Linked DNA regions of Neurospora crassa OR74A. The protein of the gene in region 1 interacts with the protein of each later gene in a biochemical or structural test. Links are inferred from orthologs where the notes say so. Each region holds a gene or a part of one and is shown in the gene's direction. Other genes may lie near its edges. The genes, in order: NCU03947, acu-6 and NCU04637.

Evidence for each region.
Region 2: the proteins of NCU03947 (region 1) and acu-6 form a complex in vitro, tested with the Saccharomyces cerevisiae proteins (2 studies listed by BioGRID, with this or other methods). The link is inferred for Neurospora crassa OR74A from reciprocal best matches to the Saccharomyces cerevisiae genes RSP5 and PCK1.
Region 3: the proteins of NCU03947 (region 1) and NCU04637 form a complex in vitro, tested with the Saccharomyces cerevisiae proteins (4 studies listed by BioGRID, with this or other methods). The link is inferred for Neurospora crassa OR74A from reciprocal best matches to the Saccharomyces cerevisiae genes RSP5 and RVS167.

Annotation. Positions count from the first base shown.
Region 1 is NC_026506.1:2,205,874-2,209,880, forward strand, and holds the start of NCU03947 (ubiquitin ligase), read left to right. Parts: upstream 1-1,200; 5' UTR 1,201-2,035; coding exon 2,036-2,067; intron 2,068-2,183; coding exon 2,184-2,206; intron 2,207-2,270; coding exon 2,271-2,309; intron 2,310-2,391; coding exon 2,392-2,497; intron 2,498-2,557; coding exon 2,558-2,691; intron 2,692-2,767; coding exon 2,768-4,007. UniProt on the Saccharomyces cerevisiae protein: E3 ubiquitin-protein ligase which accepts ubiquitin from an E2 ubiquitin-conjugating enzyme in the form of a thioester and then directly transfers the ubiquitin to targeted substrates.
Region 2 is NC_026506.1:1,823,587-1,827,634, forward strand, and holds the start of acu-6 (phosphoenolpyruvate carboxykinase), read left to right. Parts: upstream 1-1,245; 5' UTR 1,246-1,439; coding exon 1,440-1,584; intron 1,585-1,787; coding exon 1,788-1,839; intron 1,840-1,905; coding exon 1,906-1,981; intron 1,982-2,130; coding exon 2,131-2,297; intron 2,298-2,361; coding exon 2,362-2,395; intron 2,396-2,960; coding exon 2,961-4,048.
Region 3 is NC_026505.1:1,375,532-1,379,636, reverse strand, and holds the start of NCU04637 (BAR adaptor protein RVS167), read left to right. Parts: upstream 1-1,297; 5' UTR 1,298-2,013; coding exon 2,014-2,049; intron 2,050-2,207; coding exon 2,208-3,549; intron 3,550-3,626; coding exon 3,627-3,652; 3' UTR 3,653-4,105. Other genes in the region: NCU04636 (cysteine desulfurase), read right to left, coding at 1-346, 419-689. UniProt on the Saccharomyces cerevisiae protein: Component of a cytoskeletal structure that is required for the formation of endocytic vesicles at the plasma membrane level.

The DNA of each region.
Region 1 (4,007 bases):
CAAAGGGCGCTCCACATTTGCTGTCTCGCTTCGTTCAATGATGACAGCCACTAGTGTAGTGTACAAACCTAGTGTACATATGATGGGTACCTCTATGCTTCCATGAACTCCCCATCGTCAAAAGCACCTCAACAAAAAAAGAAACCTCAATTGAAAATCCAGAGATGCAGTAACGCCCCGCAGTTCCGTCGCACGCGAGGGGTATCAAAATGGAAATGACGGGCGTTTATGTCGGTGATGCGCTATTGTTGGAACAGCAGCGTCTCGGTCGGCGGCAACGGGGGTACACTACATGTACTGGGATACGCTAAGTAGCGACCTAACGCCTTTTTGCACCCCGTGCGGTGTATCGTCGTTATGGGATGTAGAGGTGCTGTGCGTTGAATTGTCAAGGTTGAGGTTTGAAGTGTTCACTTTCCTAATTGACTGCCTCTGGAGGTTTCTTCAAAGTTCGGTAGTGGCTTGATATCTGGTAGATCTGCGCAAGATCATCATCATCCCCGATCGTTGGGCTACCTCTTGTGTAGAGTTTTTGGAACAGACAGCTTCTACTACAATCTTGGCGTTTCCTGGAGAGACCTCGGAGCTTGGGGCGGTCGGTGGAGGTGCTTTCCTACCCCTAGTCATGGAAAGGCATTCAGGCCAGCATAGCTACCTATTCTAATTCTCTGTGTCGATGACTGAGCCGTGATCCATGGGATATTTTCCTGACAGGGCATCAACTCCTAAGAAAAGACACGGGACTATGTGATCCATGTACACCAAGGTTGCTCTTTGTGTGCCAATGATGTTGTTGATGTTGATCTCGAGATCTGGATGCCGTGCCAAGCATGGAGTGAATGTGGCCCCCTGGGAGTCTGGGACTCGAATGACCCGACCAACTGCTTAAGAGAAGAAGTCAAGTACCGCACTGTGCGCACCTTCCGCTTCAGTTCTCGCTCTTTGCAGGCTTCTGCTAACTAGTTCCTGGCCTAAAAGTAGTCACTCGTTAATGCGATACCTGAGCTACTAACTGAAAAGTTAAGCTTCTCGCACAGAGCATGCTAGGCCAGCCATACTTTCCCGTTAATGCTGTTGAACCATTATGTCTTGTCACCTCCCCCTGTCTCTTCACCAATGCTAGATCCAACTTGGACTGTCAATTTCTTGGCTTGGGTCGTTGCACCATTGCACCTTTGCAACATCGCAAGACGTCCAGGTTTCTCGGTCGTTTTCCCTCCCATCCTTTGGCTCATCCGTCGGTTGCAACTTAGTGAAGGTCATTGAGCTCTTCACCTGGACCTTCTTGGGGTTGGTCCGTCGAACCCAAGCTCACCCACCCGCCACTTCCAGCAGCTTCACCGCGACAAAACAACGACAGCATTCAACCTCGACACTACTAACTAAAGGTACCCTTACCAGACGAACCTAGACATCCGAGCGAGTTTACACTACCTGCTGGTTGATCCACAGAAGTGGTTTCCTAAGTATCAGACCTGCCTTGCCGACCTTGCTAGTACAGAGATTACTTAGTATTACCAAGCCACAGCCGTCCAACCTTGGCCTCTTGGATTGCTTGGCCTTTCCTTGCAGTTCGCCTTCCGCCGCCGTGACTACCTGACAGCGTAAGATACCCAAAGCGGGGGGGCCGGCTGGCCACACACGCACGAGTTACCAAGAGCAGCACAGCCTCACCACCTACGGGCGCTCAAGAGTCCCTCTAGCTTCCATCTACCACCTACTGCCACCTACAGAATTTCATCCACCCTGCCGCATCCATTCCGTTGCCAGTGACTGCGCGTTCTCGTCAACGTCAGTGTCCATCGCAAGGAGAGTTGGCCCTTTTGTAACAATCATTCAGCCTGCTTGTACCATCGTCGACTTGTCCTCCTTTCATCCCCGCCCCGCCTGCATTCAGCCGCGAGTCCTCGATCCCAAACGAGCGAGAGCGACCGACTACCCGACCCGATTGCGACCAGCCTCTGCTTGGTCCAAGAAACGAGACGAAAACTTAAAGCCCCGCGTGCGAGTTTGTTGACGCGCTCCATCTGCAACAATGACCAGCAGCCGGGACTCGGGGCTGCCGGCGTAAGTTCTCCCACGACTGGACTCTCCATCTACCCATCTTGTCTGCTTTGCGTCGCCCTCAGGGACCGCGGATTATAAGCGAGAGAACAGCCAGCTAACAACCACCACGATTAAAGCCAGCCCAATCTCCGCGTAACAAGTACTCAGCCCCTTTGCGACGAATGTGTCCGATGACCAACCGGTGTACTAACATGCCCCTCTAGTCATCGCCGCCGATGGTCTATACAAGCGAGATGTCTTCAGTATGTTTCTCCCCGTGGCCAGGTGTCATGCATCTTCTAAGCCACTTCCAGGTGGCATATGCTAACCGCATCATCATCATAGGGTTTCCCGACCCGTTCGCCGTCGCTACCATTAACGGTGAGCAGACAAAGACCACCCAGGTCTCCAAGCGTACCCTAAACCCATACTGGAACGAACACTTTGATTTGTAGGTTCGACCTTAACTCAGATTTGACAGCCCAAGGGCCAGCTGGCTAATACAACGTAGCAAAGTGAATGAGGACAGCATTCTGGCTGTCCAGGTGTTCGACCAAAAGAAGTTCAAAAAGAAGGACCAAGGTTTCCTCGGTGTCATCAATGTCCGGATAGGGGACGTAATAGAATTGGCTCCCGATGCGGAAGGTAAGGTTTCACTGCAATTCACATGTGTTTGCAGGTTGACAGCGCGATTTGGGACTGACATGCACCACACCCACAGATCAGATGCTCACGCGGGACCTTAAGAAATCGACCGACAACCTTGTGGTGCACGGCAAACTGATCATAAACCTATCTACTAACCTCACAGCAACTATGAGTCGCCTCGGTCCCCCTCCATCTTCGAGCAGACCATCACTACTCACCCCTCAAAGTTCGGTTATTTCTAACGACAGAGCGAACGAACGTCCTTCATCAGCCATGTCCGGACCTAATGGAACCGCCAATAACATGACTTTGGCAAGCCGACCCGCCAGCCTGGCTGTTTCGTCGTCGTCGACAGCCCCGACCCCCGGGACAAATGGAACAGCCCCAACGAACCCGTCGACCCTCGTTCCGGCGCAAGCCAGGCACCATAGCACGCTTAGCCCCTTCGAAGATTCAATGGGAAGATTGCCAGCTGGCTGGGAACGTCGCGAGGATCATTTGGGGAGGACATATTATGTTGATCATAATTCACGGACCACGAGCTGGAATCGGCCAACTGGCACAGGGGCGGCCGAAAACCGTACCGCCGAAGCCAATACTCAAGTCGAGCGTCAACGGCATCAGAACAGAACACTTCCCGAGGACCGCACTGGCGCCAATTCCCCCACCCTACAGCAGCAGCAAGCTGCCGCCACCGCCAATGCTGCCACTATGATGCATACCGGGGCGACAACCCCCGGAACCGGTGAATTACCTGCTGGTTGGGAGCAGAGGTTTACCCCAGAAGGAAGGCCGTACTTTGTCGACCACAACACGCGCACTACTACCTGGGTCGACCCTCGACGCCAGCAGTACATTCGCATGTACGGTGGCCAGAACAACACGAACGGGACCATTCAACAACAGCCGGTGTCCCAGCTCGGTCCCCTGCCTAGTGGTTGGGAGATGCGGCTCACCAACACGGCTCGCGTCTACTTCGTGGATCACAATACCAAGACAACGACCTGGGATGATCCTCGTCTGCCTTCGTCGCTCGACCAGAACGTACCGCAGTACAAGAGAGACTTCAGGAGGAAGCTCATCTATTTCCGTTCGCAGCCTGCTATGCGGATCATGTCCGGACAGTGTCACATCAAGGTCAGGAGATCGCACATTTTCGAGGATTCGTTTGCGGAGATTTCGAGGCAATCGGCGACGGACCTGAAGAAACGATTGATGATCAAGTTCGACGGCGAGGACGGCCTCGATTACGGCGGTCTGTCGCGCGAGTTCTTCTTCCTCCTTTCTCACGAAATGTTCAATCCATTCTACTG
Region 2 (4,048 bases), about 380 kb from region 1:
TTAATATAGAAATTATTGTGAAATAATGAATTTTAACGAAGTTGTACAATACAGAAGTGCGGTGTGTGTGTGTGTGTGTGCACGCACACACACCTCTTGCCAAGACTGCACAGGCGATTGAGTGTGGGAATGGTAAATTGTTAGGCGCTGCTCTGATTCCCGGTTTGGCAGGCCCAAATTTCCCTGTAGCCTCCACCGCGCTTCCCCTAACCCCTGGCCAGCAACTACCTACCTAGCTAGGTAGGTACTGCGTACATGTACATACAACCGTTGCACACAGCGGCCGTTTCCCTACACCGTCTCCGAGTCGCACATCATCTCACTATCCACTTGCACATGCTGCGTACAATCACGAATCCAACGTCGGCCTTCAACTGAAACCAAAGCACAACATGATCGAGGAATTACACTGTACCGGCATCCTTCGGAATGGTAGTCATTGCAACACGAAACAGATTGTCTCAGGCTGCGGCCAAGAACATTGACAGGATGGCCAAGGCTCAGACCAACAAACTTGCAGCCAACAACACTGGAATCTTGTGCAAGTTGAACAGACGGGGTAATAAAGTAGGAGATGCAAGACCAGTGTGAAATTCATTGACAGTTTGATACAGAGAGTTGCTCATTGAATCCGTGCCTACATCGAACAATATCCAGTGGCCTGAAAATATCAAATGGCAGCTAGAAACGAACGTCAAGGCCGATACTTAGCAAACTGGACTTCGATCATTGCCAGCTTACAAGACACTACGTACAGTAATTGTCCACGCCAGCGCACCCAGGCTTGACCACATCCAGCAATAACCGTTCAACAAACCACGTCGCTGCACCCCTGATGAAACACCACCACCATGCGTACGGTCGTGTACATAGCACGGTTCGCAGCAGCGATCTAGTGTACTATGATAATTGTGGTTGATTTGCATCGCCCTGATGATTCCCGAAGGACGACAGGGGGGCAGGGGTGGACGAGTGCCTGGCTCCGGAAAGTCTTCGTGGAAACCGTCTTCAGCCCAGACAGGAAACCGTCCGCCCATAGCGTCAAGACCGCCCTGCAACCCTCTGGCTCCGTCTGCCTCCGTCCTGCCCCGTGCTGCCCCGTGCTGCCCCGTGCTGCCCGTTAGATTCCACTTACACCCGCTCCTGTTCCGGGGTTGGAGGCGCCTTCAAAGCAAAGACGTCACGCATGATTGGGCATCGGCTACCCTTTGGTCTCCACATCTTTATATCCCATGTCTCCTTCACCTCGGGTTCTCCTGGGACATGTTCCATCTTCACCAATTGGATCCTCCTCCAGCTTACTTGTCGTTGTCGTCTCCGGCTGTGCTCCCGCATCCCCTGTCACCGTTCACCCACGAGCCCGTAACCGTTTCCACTCCCGAGTTGGCTTTCCAGTCGTCCGGCCTTTGCAAACCGCCGCGTCGAAAACAATAAGTACCATGGGCGACCCCGTCATCAGAACCGCTTCTCCCTACACTAATCCCATCATCAAATGCCCTCGACTACAACGTCTCTCGTCTGGTCCATCTTCTAGCTTCATCAACAACAACAACAGCAACAACAACAACAATAAATCATCCAACAGCAAGTACCCCAACTGCCAGCCCTCAAGCCTCGACAATGCCCACGCATACACATCAACATACATACACATTGCATATAATGAATGCCCCTCATGACCAAGTGTCGTCATATCTTCGTCTCTATCAGCCCAAAGCACACGCAGCCCCGGCTGCACAAGAGACTTTGACGAGTTCACCATGGCTAACCGCACTTGTCTCGTCTAGTGTTCAACCACGATCACGTCAACAAGACCAACCTCCACCCTGGTGGTGTCAAGTGAGCAAATCTCCCTGGCAACCCGACTCGTTGCCTGGCCAGAGGTGCTGACGATGACTTCAACAGGCCCCATGTCGAGCACACAGAACTAGAGGAGGAGCTCCATCAAAAAGCTCACATCGACTATGACAGAGTCGCTATTGTACGTCCCTCTCTCCTCATCGCCTTTTTGAGACTGCAACATTCGATATCAACATGAAGGAGCTTGCATATGCACCGCCTGTTGGCTCCAAGTTGGACTCTTTGAAAATGGCCATGCTGCTGGAAGGACGCATAACTAACCCTCCACAGATCGCCAACCCTTCAGTCGCCTCCCTCTACGAAGATGCCCTTGTCTATGAGACGGGCACTGCCATCACATCCAGCGGTGCTCTTACCGCCTACTCGGGCAAGAAGACTGGCCGTTCTCCCTCAGATAAGCGTATCGTCAAGGAGCCTTCATCAGAAAACGACATTTGGTACGTTTGAATCTGTCGCTTCTGTCTTTGACTTCAACAGACTTGCTAACGATTTCTCAAATAGGTGGGGACCTGTCAACAAGCCCATGAGCCCAGAGGTAAGAAACACTTGCACTTTTTTGACACATCCGACATGACCAGAAAAGGTGTTGGTTGGTTGGTTGGATGCACTCCACCGTTTCAAATGCATCCATTGGCGGCGGCATTGGCATTGGATGGTTGCACAAGCACACGCGACCAATTTCGCACTCGAACAGGCGATGGTGAGGCCGGCAGCCCTGCGGTGCACTTTCCACACAATGGATTTTGCCAAGCAGAGCACGGCTTCACGTCATTGTTCTTGGCGACTTTGGAAAATGACTTTTTGATGTCTTGTCGGTGTCATCGTGGAGCCGGTGTGCACCAGCAGCGCCATGTGGGGTCCCTTTGACCCGCCCCTGCTCTCGCCTGGGCTGTCGTCATGACCCGCAGCGCTTGTCCCCGAATCAGGTCACAGCCTCGGATGCATGCCCCCCCATCAATGCACCCCGCTCCCGCTCGGGAAACAACTCGGCCTTCCCCGCACCAACCGAACCCCTTTTTCTCCACTCGGGCCAACGGCGATCCCAGATCACGTGGCCACCCTCATCGTCACCACTTGCTGACTCTTACTCTTCACTACAGGTCTGGAAGATCAACCGCGAGCGTGCTGTCGACTACCTCAACACCAGGAATCGCATCTACGTCGTTGACGGTTATGCCGGCTGGGATGAGAAGTACCGCATCCGCGTCCGTGTCGTCTGCGCCCGCGCCTACCATGCTCTCTTCATGCGCAACATGCTTATCCGCCCTCCCCGTGAGGAGCTCGAGCACTTCCACCCCGACTACACCATCTACAATGCCGGCTCTTTCCCCGCCAACCGTTACACTGAGGGCATGTCCTCCTCCACCTCCGTTGCCATCAACTTTGCCGAGAAGGAGATGGTCATCCTTGGTACCGAGTACGCCGGTGAGATGAAGAAGGGTATCTTCACCGTCATGTTCTACGAGGGCCCCGTCAAGCACAACATCCTCACTCTCCACTCCTCCGCCAACGAAGGCAAGGATGGCGACGTCACTCTCTTCTTCGGTCTTTCCGGAACTGGCAAGACCACCCTCTCGGCCGACCCCAACCGCCGCCTCATTGGTGACGACGAGCACTGCTGGTCCGACCGCGGTGTCTTCAACATCGAGGGTGGCTGCTACGCCAAGACCATTGGTCTCTCCGCCGAGAAGGAACCCGATATTTTCAACGCCATCCGCTACGGTTCCGTCCTCGAGAACGTTGTCTTCAACCCCGAAACCCGCGAGGTCGACTACGGTGACGCCACCCTCACCGAGAACACCCGCTGCGCCTATCCCATCGAGTACATCCCCAACGCCAAGATCCCCTGCCTGTCGCCCAACCACCCCAAGAACATCATCCTCCTCACTTGCGACGCCCGCGGCGTGCTCCCTCCCATCTCCAAGCTCGACTCGGCCCAGACCATGTTCCACTTTATCTCCGGCTACACCTCCAAGATGGCCGGTACCGAGGACGGCATTCTTGAGCCCCAGGCGACCTTCTCTTCGTGCTTCGCCCAGCCCTTCCTGGCCCTGCACCCCATGCGCTACGCCAAGATGCTCGCCGAGAAGATCGAGAACCACAACGCCAACGCTTGGCTCCTCAACACCGGCTGGGTCGGTGCCGGCTTCGCCCAGGGCGGCAAGCGCTGCCCGCTCAAGTACACCCG
Region 3 (4,105 bases), on another chromosome or scaffold:
TTGTGTTCTGTCTGGCTGGTGATGATGTGCTTCTTCTTGCCGGACCGGCCAAAGAACCTAGCGACGCCCTTGATACTCATGTTGTTGCTTTCGGTGGCACCGCTGGTGAAGATGATTTCCTTGGGGTCAGCGCCAATCAGATCAGCAATGTGTTTCCTCGCCTCTTCAACGGCCTTGTCAGTCTCCCAGCCGTAGGCATGTGTCCTCGAGTGGGGGTTGCCATAGACGTTGGTGAAGTAGGGCATCATGGCATCGAGCACTCTGGGGTCGATGGGGGTTGTGGCCTGCATATCCAGGTAGATGGGACGCTGTCCCTCATCCATCACGGTAGCATTGCTGAGAACATCTAGTTGAGTCAGCAACGAGGACGACTGCGCAATATGTCTCCGAAGAGGTGGGAGGTGATGATGATGCTTACCAGCCATGGGGCTGACGTGTTGGCTCGAGCCATTTTGCGCGCTTATAGTGAGGCCCTGCTTCTCCATCTCCCTGTGATCCAGCTTGATAGCATGCTCGGCCTGCACGTCGGCGTTGTTCCTCTTGGTCTCGGTCACATAGCTCCTGGAAGCAGAAGCAGTCTTGACAGCAGCCGCAGTAGTCGCCCGCGACAGCACACGCGCGCTGCGGAGAGGAGCGGCCGCGGCCAAGCGCGATGCCTGTCGCAAGACGGACGGCGCAATGGTGGACATGGTAAAAGGAAGAAGAAAGAAGGAGAGGAAAAGAGAATATGGTGGTGAGGGTGATGGCGGATGAGGGAGAAAAAGTTCGTTTTGTAACCAAACCTACAAAAACGGATGGAGGCAGCGGGCGGGGCGGCTCAAAACACACTCAGAAATTCAGATGGAGCTGCCGCCTCCCGCTCTTCGGCGGTCGGAGTGGAATTTCCGCCATACAGAAAAGAACAAATCGAAACAAACGGCATCCGCACGCGGACTTGGCCTCGGAGGGGTCGGTGATAAAGGAATGTGCCAATGAGGGGCGACAACCAACAAGGTTTGGCACTTTGATTGGTCATTCTGCCATCGGATGGCCCCACCTGTTTCTTTCTCGGACATCGGACAAGCGCGTATGTACGTACGGCGAAAATGACGCTGCTCCAAAATGTTAGAGAATGGGCCGCCGGGCATGACGGAAACTGAACGCTCGATGTGCACCGCGGCGACTGACTTGACAAATACAGTGCGGAATGTCCACTTGTGAAACGGACTCCGCGGACGCATCTGATCCATCATTGCACAGAAAGGAAGAGCACTGACCCGGGGCAGGCATCCATCTGTTCTCTCAATCGGCATGTCCACTGGGATGAAAGCTACACTACAGCGGGCCCCAGACCCAGTCGGTCTACCCCGTCGTTCCAATTCGTTCCTTTCCGGGGTCTCATCGACCAAAAGCAGAACAACCGATGACGGTACCTATTTACCTCCTCGGTAGTATTCTGTTTCCATTCGCATTGGATGTCTGCGTTGGACTATAACTTGAACCATCAGTGACATGCCATATAACCGCCGACAACCTACTTGAATTCCATTTACACTGCTAAACTATTTAGTAGCATCTTACCTCTAGGACAGCTACCTCTAGCTACTTTACCTCCTACCGTTGAAGACCGAATCCTCCCCGAGGAAGTTTGTCGGACCTCGAACGGAACTGCTGACAAGGGTCCGACCGACGGGATTCAAGAACAAACCGAAATCACAAGACGCCTAGACAAAAAGACTTTTCACACTACATCTTGGAACGAGGTCGCTGTGTGCGGCGTGTCCAACATTCAGCAAATAGCAGCGCCACGCAAACCGTCGCAAGCTTCGCTCAGCCAAGACTTCGTCCACCAGCCAAACGACCTGCACCGCCCCCCTGCCCACCCCCAGCGTCATCACCATCGTATCCGGATCCGACTTGAAGAGGGCACTCGACCACCGATTGCCTTCAACCTCTCCGAACAGCAACCCGCTTTGCGCATCTCCATACAAACACCGAATACACATCAGACATCATACGGCTTCGTAGCAGAATATGAGCTTCAGGGGCTTCCAAAAAAGCGTGGTCCGCGTAGGTTCTGCCCCGCATACCTAGTTGATCTCACCTCCCCTAGTTTCGGTTACAGCGTCATCATCACTTCCGCCCTTCCCGTCGAGTCCCCCGTCTGTGGCAGAAATAGCGCCGAATCACTCGGGTTGGCAAACAGGCACTAACACGACAGAAACCAGGCACCACAACAATTCAAGCAAAAGTTTAACCTCGGCGAGCATACCAAAGACCCTGTCTACATCGACTCGGAGCGCAGATTCCAGGAGCTCGAAACCGAGACCAAACGCCTTCACGATGAAAGCAAAAAGTACTTTGAGGCCATCAATGGCATGCTGCAACACCAAATCGAGTTCTCAAAGGCAATGACCGAAATCTACAAGCCCATCAGCGGCCGCATGTCCGATCCCGATTCGCTCGTTCCCCATGGCAACTATGAGGGTATTGCCGCCTGCGAGGAGTACGAGGCCGTTGTCAAGGACCTGCAGGAAACACTGGCGCCAGAGTTGGAAATGATTGAGGCTAGGGTTATTCGGCCAGCGAACGAGCTCCTCGATGTGATCAAGGTCATTCGCAAAACGGCCGTGAAGCGCGAGCACAAGAAGCTGGACTACGACAGACACCGCGCCACCCTCAAGAAGCTCCAGGACAAGAAAGACCGGTCGGCAAAGGACGAGAAGGCCATGTGGAAGGCTGAGAACGAAGTTGAGCAGGCCACGCAAGAGTACAATTACTTCAACGATCTGCTTAAGGACGAGCTACCCAAGCTGTTTGCCCTCGAACGCCAGTTCATTCAGCCGCTTTTCCAGTCCTTCTACTACATGCAGCTCAACATCTTCTACACCTTGCACGAGAAGATGCAGCACTGCGACATTGGCTACTTCGACCTGACCCTGGACATTGAGGAGGCCTTTTACGCGAAGCGAGGTGACGTCCAGGAGCGGGCTGAGGCTCTCTCCATTGTCAAGTTCAAGACCACGGGTATGAAGCGACCGCCCAAGTACCAACGTCCAGGCGCTCTCGAAGGAAACAAGCCAGCAGGCCTACTTACAGCTGGCTCCTCCACGACCACTTCCACCGGTCCGCCTGAGGCGGCTCCCTCAGTCACAGCCCCACGCCCCTGGGAACAGCAACAACAAGCTCCTGCCGTCACAGCACCGCGACCTTGGGAAACCCAGGCGGAAACAGTAGAAGCGCATGCGCCGCCACCGTATTCGGTGAAGCCGAGCACGCTACATGCTACGCCCGCCTCCTACGCCGCTCCAGTTGCCAGCCCGAAACCCTCGTCGTTGTCCATGGCGGCGGCTGCAAAGGCCAAGCCCCCACCGCCGAAGCCCAAGCCCAAGGCCCTCATGGCGGCGGCACCCAAAGTAGAGACCGTCACAGCGCTTTACGACTACTCGGCGCAGGCGGAGGGCGATCTGAGCTTCCGTGCCGGTGATGTGATTGAGATAGTAACAAGGACTGCGAACGAGAATGAGTGGTGGATTGGAAAGTTGCATGGAAAGCAGGGTCAATTCCCAGGTACGTACTGTACTATTTCTTAGGGTGCTTGCTTTGTTGCGAGCTGGATATGTTCTGACACAATGGTCTTTTGCTAGGAAACTATGTCCAGTTAAACAGCTAGAGGATACAAGGCTACTTGTAAATGTAGTTATCAAAGAGTTGCTTTCAGCACACTTCACTTCTCAGCACGACTTCAACCTATACCCCTTTTTTGTGGACCCGTTCATGGTCGAGTTATTCATTTGCAACCACAACACGGATTCTTTCTAGTTCGTCTACATCGTACCAGGCCGTGACGTTCTGTAGCAGGGCCTTGGTGATCCTATACGGATGCAATGATATGCGGCAGGTGACTCTGTTGAGAATAGTCAGGCAGGAGGAAACTCCGTCGCGAAGGAGGACCTGCGAGGAGCGTGGAGCGAGAGGGTCCCGGGTGTTTGCGTCTAGGGAAATGGCGGGTGTATTGTTTTGGAGCGAAGGAAGCAACGGAGTGAAAAGGTCACAGTGCATTGGGTCAAACCTGGAAGTTTTGATTAGATGCGTTTTGCCATGATCGCCGTCGTGGTTTGTTCCC